Linked DNA regions of Macaca fascicularis. The protein of the gene in region 1 interacts with the protein of each later gene in a pairwise test. Links are inferred from orthologs where the notes say so. Each region holds a gene or a part of one and is shown in the gene's direction. Other genes may lie near its edges. The genes, in order: PLSCR1, SLC35A2 and CCER1.

Region 1 (2,805 bases):
TAATTTCTCTATATAATGAAACAGTTTTTTTCATATATCTATAAATAGATACCGGAGCCTCTAGTTATCTAATGAGGGTTACATGTTCATGGTTACATATGGTACATAATTTTAATACCATATTTGTTTCATCTTCAAATTTGAAAGTACTTTTGCTATAAGTTTCCTAAAAATATGTAATACTTTTTTTTCAATTTAGATTAAATCTCTTGATGAACAGTGTGTGGTTGGCAAAATTTCCAAGCACTGGACTGGAATTTTGAGAGAGGCATTTACAGATGCTGATAACTTTGGAATCCAGTTCCCTTTAGACCTTGATGTTAAAATGAAAGCTGTAATGATTGGTGCCTGTTTCCTCATTGTAAGTTTGTTCTTATTAATCTTGATTATAGATGCTTTCTCTATATGCTTTCTACTAATCATTCTGAAATGATTCAGTAAAGTGTATATTTCAAAATGACTTTTTAAAATTTATAGATTTTTAAATCAGGATTCCCATTTAATCCTAGCTCTGAAATTCTATTTGATCCTGACACTCTGGGGTGACTAGTTTCTGTCTGAAGAGTCTATGAATATTCACATGGCAAGAGAGGGACTAAGGAGGCGTACTGAGGAGAGATTTTAGTCTCCCCTTAAATCAGCCATCTCCTACATGCTTTGAAGAAATTGAAAGCGGGCATATGTGGAAAAAATTTAGTGAAACAAGGAAACTTGACCATGACTCATAGTAATTAAATTAAACCATCTAATATAGGAGTATGAACTACAGTAAGAGTGTGCATTCACTCAAGTGTGTAGACCTAACTACCAAATTACAGGAGATAATCGGATATACCAGTGATTCTGAAATTGCCTTCACATTAGAATCACTTAGGGACCTTTAAAAACTGTAAGTACTAGTCCATACCTCAGTTCAACTGAGTCAAACTTCGAAGTTCGTATAGTGCTCCAGGTGGTTCCAATATGCAGCCACAGATGAGAATTATGGGGATAGAGAAAAAGTCACATTTAGAGAAAATAACCGGAAGATTAATTAAATTCATACAGGTATCAATACATGAATAGAATTATAAAATTTATTATTAAAATGGAAAGCTAAAGGTAGAACTTATATAACTATAGAGCTTTTCTGTGTTTATTACATTTAATTTTTTTAACAGATATGTTACTGTGTTTCACTAGATCCCTTAGTATTTCTGCATCTGATCATTGATCTCTGTTTTGTTGCTGAAAATTCATTTGTATATTTTTGTTTTTATCTAGGATTTCATGTTTTTTGAAAGCACTGGCAGCCAGGAACAAAAATCAGGAGTGTGGTAGTGGATTAGTGAAAGTCTCCTCAGGAAATCTGAAGTCCGTAAATTGATTGAGACTATCTAAACTCATACCTGTGTGAATTAAGCTGTAATGCCTGTAGCTCTGGTTGTATACTTTTGCTTTTCAAATTATAGTTTATCTTCTGTATAACTGATTTATAAAGGTTTTTGTACATTTTTTAATACTCATTGTGAATTTGAGAAAAAGGGCATCTGAGTTTTTGCATTTATTAATGAAACTTCCTATAAAAAACTGCTTTGAATTATGATCTCTGATCCACTGTCCATTTTACTACCGAATATTAACTAAGGCCTTATTAATTTTTATATAAATTATATTTTAAATCTAGTTACAATTTATTTCATGCATAATAGCTAATGTTATTTTGCAAATGCCATATATTCAAAAAAGTTCAAAGATAATTTTCTTTACTGTTATGTTCAAATAATATTCAATATGTATATTATCTTTAAAAAGTTAAATGTATTTTTTTAATCTTCAAGAAATCATGCTACACTTAACTTCTCCTAGAAGCTAAGCTGTACCATAAATGATACATTCATGTTCACAAGATATTAAATTACCAGTTTTTAAATTATTGTTAAATAAAGAACAAAATAAAGAACAAAATGATTCTTGTCCAAAGAAAGGCACATTTTAAACACTCCTTCACTCTAAAACTCGTACTATTATAAATTTTGAAAGTTAATATTTATATATGAAATGTATAGCTTTTATACTCTATCCTTTCTAGAAAATGGTAATTTTCAGATGTTAATTAAATATAATATTATATATATATATATATTCACAGAAAATAAACCTAAATAATGATCTATTAGATTCAAATATTTGAAATAAAAACTTGATTTTTTTGTATATTTGACTTTTGTTTTTAAACAAAATGTGTTCAGATGGTATTTTGAACACTCATTCAGTTAAATGATGGTACATTTGAAGCAGGATATTTCCCTGACCCCTTCCTGGGACTCGAGAAGGGGTGTCTTGTTTACTCAGCCTGCCACTCTCAACTCCTCCTGGGAGGGAGTGCGCAGGCAAACAAGGCAGGAACTGGAGTGCACAAGCACTGGAACTGGCTGACCGCTTTGGCACGGGCAAGAGCAAACTCCGTGCACGCCCTGTGGTAGCAACCAGGTGCGGTTGCCTGCGATTCCTGAAGCCCCAGAAGGTGTGTTACGGTGCTCTTTTAGCTCTGCAGTCTGTGGACAGCTTAAGTGTTAACAGCTCCGTGAGCCCTTTGTCTTGTCACGTGGGACAGCTGCCCTCCACCAGCAAGGGCAAAGGGCGAGTGTTAGTGCCTTTTATATCTGCACTCATGGCTCCCAGGCTCTTGTCCGGCGTCCAGGAAAAATGTGGTCACAAAAACAACTGAAGGATGGTAAATGCGGGGATTTTATTGCTGAGGAAAGTGACTCTCAGTGGAAAAGGGAGCTGAAAAGGGGACAGTGGGGTAGGTGATCTTCCCCT
Region 2 (3,655 bases), on another chromosome or scaffold:
TGGAGACCATCCTGGCTAACACGGTGAAACCCCGTCTCTACTAAAAATACAAAAAATTAGCTGGGAGTGGTGGCATGCACCTGTAGTCCCAGCTACTCGGGAGGCTGAGGCAGGAAAATCACTTGAACCTGGGAGGTGGAGGTTGCAGTGAGCCTGAGCCGAGATGGTGCCACTGTGCAAAAAAAAAAAAAAAAAAAAAAAAAGAAAAGTCTAGACTAAACTTCTCTTCTGTGTGGGAGACAGCCCTCCACCCCAGCTCCTAGGGCTTCTATTTCATAAGCTCCAAGTTAATGATGGTTATTTCTTATTTTATTTTATTTTATTTGAGATGGAGTCTCACTCTGTCGCCCAGGCTGGAGTGCAAATGGCATTGTCTCAGCTCACTGCAACCTCTGCCTCCCAGGTTCAAGCAATTCTCTTGCCTCAGCCTCCCAAGTAGCTGGGATTACAGGCACATGCCACCACACCTGGCTAATTTTTGTATTTTTAGTAGAGATGGGGTTTCCGTGTGGTTGGCTCAGCTGGTCTTGAACTCCTGACCTCATGAGCCACCCGCCTTGGCCTCCCAAAGTGCTGGGATTACAGGCATGAGCCATGGCGCCTAGCCTAATGATGGTTATTTCATTGTACAAAAATGTATTGAGTATTGAGTGCTTGCCCTGAATGGGGCTGTCTGCCAGGGAGGTAGGCTCTAACATAGTGACATGCTCTGTGATTAGCAGACACAGATGGCTGATTCTTTTGCTGCCATTAAACTGAGTCTCAGAAAAGCTAGCTGGAAACATGGTTATACCCTAGGGAAAACCAAGATCACAGACTTCATTCCAGCCCCCAGGGATTGGACAGCAGGGTGGATGGGGGAGTCACGATAGCAAGGCCTGTTCCCAGCCTTCAGGGGTTCCCCGTGTATGGCTGTCAGTGCTGAGAAGGGCTCTCCTCCTCCCACCTAGGTAACGTGAAGCACCTGGTTCTCTTCCTTCATGAGGCTGTCCTGGTGCAGTATGTGGACACACTCAAGCTCGCAGTGCCCTCTCTCATCTACACCTTGCAGAATAACCTCCAGTATGTTGCCATCTCTAACCTACCAGCTGCCACTTTCCAGGTGAGCCGCAAGCCCAGCATGGCCCCAGAGGAACTAACTGGGTTGGGGACTGGAGTATGGGAATAGCGTGGTGGGGGGATGTTGCAGAGGACAGGGGCTATGTCACCTCCAGAATGTCCTTGGAATTCCCTCAACCTTTTCTCGTCTGAAAATTGGGGGTGGAAATAGTAATGCCTGTTCACTGAGATGCTAGGATACTTAAAAGAAATAATACCTGTGAAGAGCCCTTGGTTGATGATAGATAAGCTTTAGGCTATTTGTGGGCAGCTTTGTGAAATGGTTAAAGAGCCTGGATTCTGGGAGCAGGCTGCCTGGGTTCAAATCTCAGCTCTGCTACTTTCCAGCTGTGTGATTTTGGGGCACGTCACCTAACCTTTCTGTGCCTTAGTTTTCTCATCTTTAAATTGGGGCTTACAGTGGTGCTCACTTCAGAATGGTGTTGTGAGAATTAAATGAATGAATTCATGTGCAGTGCCTAGAACCACACTGATACATTGTAAACACTATGTAAGTATTTGCTGAAATTGTTGTGGCTATTGATTCATTTGTATCAAGTCCCTCATCACAAAGATACTTCCATACCTCAGCCATCTTTTATAGATGATGATGCCAGGGCTCAGACAGGGCAAGTGCTTTGTCCCGTCACACAGCCAGGAAATAGGATTGGGATGTGGACTTCCTGGCACAGCCGTCCTTTTGTGCACTTGGTGGGAGAGACCTCAGAACTGTTTTGCTGCAGCTCAGCCAATGGCCAGTGGCTGGCTCCTTTTGCTGTTTTTGTTGTCATACCCCCCACCCTGTCCCTCCGTTGTGCCTGGGGACCCACAGTGGGTGCTGCCCCCCATATGTACCTGTTGGGGGCCAGGGTTAGCCCTCAGTGCCTTCCACGTGCCACTCGCAGGTGACGTACCAGCTGAAGATCCTGACCACAGCGCTGTTCTCCGTGCTCATGCTGAACCGCAGCCTTTCCCGGCTGCAGTGGGCCTCCCTGCTGCTCCTCTTCACTGGCGTCGCCATTGTCCAGGCACAGCAAGCCAGTGGGGGAGGCCCACGGCCACTGGATCAGAACCCTGGGGCAGGCCTGGCAGCCGTCGTGGCCTCCTGTCTCTCCTCCGGCTTTGCAGGTGTCTACTTTGAGAAGATCCTCAAAGGCAGCTCAGGCTCCGTGTGGCTGCGCAACCTGCAACTGGGCCTCTTTGGCACAGCACTGGGCCTAGTGGGGCTCTGGTGGGCTGAGGGTACCGCCGTGGCCACCCGCGGTTTCTTTTTTGGGTACACGCCTGCTGTCTGGGGCGTGGTGCTCAACCAGGCCTTTGGTGGGCTACTGGTGGCTGTGGTTGTCAAGTACGCTGACAACATCCTCAAGGGCTTTGCCACCTCCCTGTCCATTGTGCTGTCCACTGTTGCCTCCATTCGCCTCTTTGGCTTCCACGTGGACCCATTATTTGCCCTTGGCGCTGGGCTCGTCATTGGTGCCGTCTACCTCTACAGCCTTCCCCGAGGTGCAGCCAAAGCCATAGCCTCTGCCTCTGCTTCCGCCTCCGGGCCCTGCGTTCACCAGCAGCCTCCCGGGCAGCCACCGCCACCGCAGCTGTCTTCCCACCATGGAGATCTCATCACGGAGTCCTTTCTGCCGAAGTCAGTGCTGGTGAAGTGAGGGCTGGCAGCAATGGGGAACACAAGGGAGGGGGACTGGGGTGGAGGGTGTTGGGCATCTGCAGGACCCAAGTTGCCGCCCTCCGGGGCCTGGCTCCTCTGGGTTTGGGAGATGGTCTTTTCTCCCAGGTCACTGAGACTTCTGGAGGGGCGTGGGACTAGAGCTGGGTGTCACGTGAACCCTTCCTGGTAGGCTGACCCCCTTCCCCCGGTGGGGGTTTTAGAGCTGCCTCCTCTGCCCCCTCTAACCTCTTTGGAGGCAGGGTCGGGGTTATTATTCAAGGCCTTTTTTTTTGTCTGCTCCCTCCCTGACCCTATGCCCTCTTCTGGAGGTGTCTTGTCTGGGAGATTCCCTCCCAGCAGTCCCTCCACCTCCATAAGGACACACTGGACAGAACTCCGCAGCTCTTCAGGAATGACCGATGCCTACCTGTTGGGGTTCAGTTGCCCGTAGTTTGAGGCCTTCTCTCCTCCCTTACCACCGCTCTGGATCATGTTAGCAGTTCCGTCTTTTGTGTGGCCTTGGGCCAGCTTCCCTGACACCTTGAAGATGGACTTCTTGTGAGTCCCCAGGGAGAAAGGGACAAGAGCTAAGATTTTTGCATCAGCCCTTCTGGCAGAAGGTGCGGTCGGGGCCATTTGATTTTTAGTGGACTTGGGATTTGTGGTGTAATCATATCATTAATGATCCAGGGTGTGGGAAAAATGGAGGTCCTTGAAGTGGCTGAATCTCATTGTATTTAAGACACTGTCAGTTGCCAGATGCAGGGTTATTTTTGGAGACGTCTAGAGAGGAAAAATAAAGCTGCCAATCATACTGTTGATATCTGTCTGGCTGTGTGAGGCACCCCTACCTCATGGGGGTGTCGTGGGATTGATGAACTGTGGAACCTGCCT
Region 3 (3,080 bases), on another chromosome or scaffold:
AGGCTTAGGCTTAAATAGTAGCCCGAAAATGTATTAGCCCCACAACCATGGGGAAATTAACCCCTCAGTTCCCTCATCTGTGACAGGTGATAAGATACGCCTACCTCTCAGGGTAGATGACAGGATTATGTGTCAGGAAGCACATGCAATAATAAATGTTTGTGGCCTTGTTTTATGTATTATGAATTCCATTTCCCCGGAGTAAGAAGAGTTGGCACCGGCCAGAAGGTAAGAGGTTGGGCCAAGTTTTCTTTCTCCAGTAATTTTCCATTAATTTTCCATTAATACAAAAGAGGTGATATAGTACATGTAAAGACACTTGTGCTTGATGTAAAAATAGGCATCCCTACCCTGGCTTGTGTCATTTTACCCTCCAAAGGTGTAGAATGTGGGGTTTTCAAAACTCAAGTTCTCCCGCCCCCACCGGGTTCAGATGAAGGCCCATCTTCTAAACCCCTGCCTCAAGGTGACACAAAGCTTTCGGATAAACTGCCTCCAGACGTGCTTGAATTGAGCAGCACAAACCCAGCCTGAGCCCCTCTTCGCCTCCCCCAAACGCTACGTCACAAGCCCCCTGCGAATGTTCACCTAGAGCCTGGTTCCAGCCAGAACCCGGTCTTGCACACAGGGAGGACGATTTCGACCCCAATTGGCTGTTGCCCTGGGCGACCAAGAACGCGGTGGGCACGCGGGAGACCACAGCCAGTATTTAAAGGCTGCCGCTGCCCTCGCCACCCCAGTCCTGCCAGGACGGCGACAGTGAAGCACCTGGGTTGAGAGGTAGCAGCAGGTAACTGCGCAACCCCTGCCTCCCCCGGCCCCAGCCCGTGCCTCAGCAGAGCCGGGTGTGGGGGGGACCCGGGAGTGGGTCTCACTGCGTGTCGCCTGCCAACACCTTCCTCCCCCACCATCCTTGCCCAGCCCCAGTCCCACCCAGCACACCTGGGTGAGACAACCCAGGTGCGAAGGACAAGCGATTACTACCGAAGAGCTCGCAAACCAGGAAGAGAGCGGCCTCCTGGAGAGAAAACGTGATCCCAGGGGTAGACACGTGGCACTGCGTGGAGAGACAGGGTGACGAGACGAGGCTCTTCTGACCGTCCTATCTGGCAAAACTTGACGACAGCTTCTGGGTCGCTACCATCTAGACCTCTCAGAGCTCCCCGAACGATGACTCAGACCCTCGACACAAGGGAAGACCCTCTGAACCTGGGCGGCGGTGGCTGGGCACACTCGGCCTCCTTGAGCTCCTGGTCGTCCTGCCATCGAAGGCGCCAGGGCGCTCCAGTGTACAATAGGCCGCACCGCTATAGCCCCAAGACCGAGTATGGGCCCCCAAGGAAGCAGCCGAAGCAACAGCACGGCCCGGGCTTTTGGTTCCAACCACCCGTGTGCTTTAACTGGGGGTGCTGGGGAGGGCCCTGGCGCCCACCCCCTCCAGGATTCCGGAAGTTCCATTGCCCAGTGCAAGTGTTTCGGGTGTATGGCCTGCACCCTCTCTGCTTTTGCTGCTGCTCCTGCTGGAACGGGTCCTGGAACCCTAGCTGGGCGAGGCCCCCAGGCAGGAAGAAGCGCTGGGGCCGCAGGGGTCGCGGCCTGCGCCACCACCCTCGCCGCTCCTCCCCGCGGAGCCCGCCAGCGAATGTGAGCACGCTGCCGCGGCCGGTCAAGCTGTACGAGTGGAGAGAGCCTGGCATGCGAGCGCCGCCCAACACCACCCAATTCATCATGAACCAGATCTACGAGGACATGCGGCAGCAGGAGAAGCTGGAGCGTCAGCAGGAGGCGCTGAGGGCGCAGAAGGCCCCGGTGAGCGGCGAGGCCTCCCCGGCCAGATCCTCCGGAAACGACGCGCCCCCTGGCGGCAGCGAGGAAACCTGGGGACTGCAGGAAGCTCTGTATGGCTTTGTGCAGAATCCCTCTCTAGCATTCAGTCCTAAATCAGAGGAAAACCAGTCTCTTGCCCCGTTGCTGGTGGAGGAAGAGGAGAAGAAAAATGATGATGAGGAGGAGTATGACCAGGAGGTGTGTGATGCAAAGGAGGTGAGCGAGGAGGAGGAAGAAGAGGTTGAAGATGAGGAAGAAGAGGTCGAAGATGAGGAAGAAGAGGTGGAAGATGAGGAAGAGGAAGAGGTCGAAGATGAGGAGGAGGAAGAGGTCGAAGAGGCTGAATATGTGGAGGAGGAGGAGGAGGAGGAGGAGGAGGAGGAGGAGGAGGAGGAAGAGGAGGAGGTAGAAGGGGAAGAGGAGGTCCTGGAGGAGAACGAGCAGAGAGGGGAAGAATTTCATTTGCCTCTGGAAATGCCTTTATCAATCTTCGTAGAGGCTGAAGAAAAGAGAGAGAACTTTATAAGCTGCACTTTTTTAAACCCAGAGCAGATAATTCCCAAAGTGCCACAGGAATCCCTGTTCACTGCACAGGACTTTAACTGTTAGACATCAGAAAAGGGATTGAGGAAAGGGATGGAACTGATTTGAGGCTAAACTGGATTAGCAATTTATTAAAAACTGATTAAAAAGTGAGTTCCATTAATAAACAGATGTAAACACCTTCTTTGGCCATTATAAAATGCTTAAAATTTGATGCGTATGTGTATGACTATGGGTGGTGGTGGGGGAGCTTTCAAATATAATTTTACTGGAACTGATTAAAGGCCAAGTATTTTATTACTACCATTAGAATATTTTCACCTGGTGTTTTCCCCACTAGAAAACAAAGTTGCTGTTTTTTTTTGAAATCTATAAATGCTGGAAAAGCGTTTGTTTTTGAACAAATTTATACAACTTAGCCACTTAATGAGCTTGGCATGAAGAGATAGTTTGTTACATGCATAAGAAAGCACATTCTAACGCTGCTGAATGTTCACCAGTGCTCTTAACATAACTGAAGCCATTTTCAATCCCTGTATTTTTTTTCAACAATATTTTACCTCGTAGATTTTTCCACCATCAGAGTTCATTTTTGAGGGCTGTATTTTGTTAACCCCATTTGCAGTCTCTTGTGGCATCGCTTATTGATATTCCTTGTTCCACAGTGCTATGGATCTTCCTCAGAAAAACATGAAGTTGCTTCTGTGGAA

Evidence for each region.
Region 2: the proteins of PLSCR1 (region 1) and SLC35A2 interact in a two-hybrid assay, tested with the Homo sapiens proteins (2 studies listed by BioGRID and IntAct). The two-hybrid records come from large-scale screens. The link is inferred for Macaca fascicularis from reciprocal best matches to the Homo sapiens genes PLSCR1 and SLC35A2.
Region 3: the proteins of PLSCR1 (region 1) and CCER1 interact in a two-hybrid assay, tested with the Homo sapiens proteins (2 studies listed by BioGRID and IntAct). The two-hybrid records come from large-scale screens. The link is inferred for Macaca fascicularis from reciprocal best matches to the Homo sapiens genes PLSCR1 and CCER1.

The regions. Positions count from the first base shown.
Region 1 is NC_088376.1:49,326,290-49,329,094, reverse strand, and holds the end of PLSCR1 (phospholipid scramblase 1), read left to right. Parts: intron 1-199; coding exon 200-361; intron 362-1,263; coding exon 1,264-1,320; 3' UTR 1,321-2,196; downstream 2,197-2,805. UniProt on the Homo sapiens protein: Catalyzes calcium-induced ATP-independent rapid bidirectional and non-specific movement of phospholipids (lipid scrambling or lipid flip-flop) between the inner and outer leaflet of the plasma membrane resulting in collapse of the phospholipid asymmetry which leads to phosphatidylserine externalization on the cell surface.
Region 2 is NC_088395.1:49,059,789-49,063,443, reverse strand, and holds part of SLC35A2 (UDP-galactose translocator), read left to right. Parts: intron 1-950; coding exon 951-1,102; intron 1,103-2,003; coding exon 2,004-2,740; coding exon of another isoform or gene 2,741-2,759; exon of another isoform or gene 2,760-3,090; coding exon 3,091-3,217; 3' UTR 3,218-3,655. UniProt on the Homo sapiens protein: Transports uridine diphosphate galactose (UDP-galactose) from the cytosol into the Golgi apparatus, functioning as an antiporter that exchanges UDP-galactose for UMP.
Region 3 is NC_088385.1:97,969,424-97,972,503, reverse strand, and holds CCER1 (coiled-coil domain-containing glutamate-rich protein 1), read left to right. Parts: upstream 1-1,170; coding exon 1,171-2,088; intron 2,089-2,133; coding exon 2,134-2,436; downstream 2,437-3,080. UniProt on the Homo sapiens protein: Regulator of histone epigenetic modifications and chromatin compaction into the sperm head, required for histone-to-protamine (HTP) transition.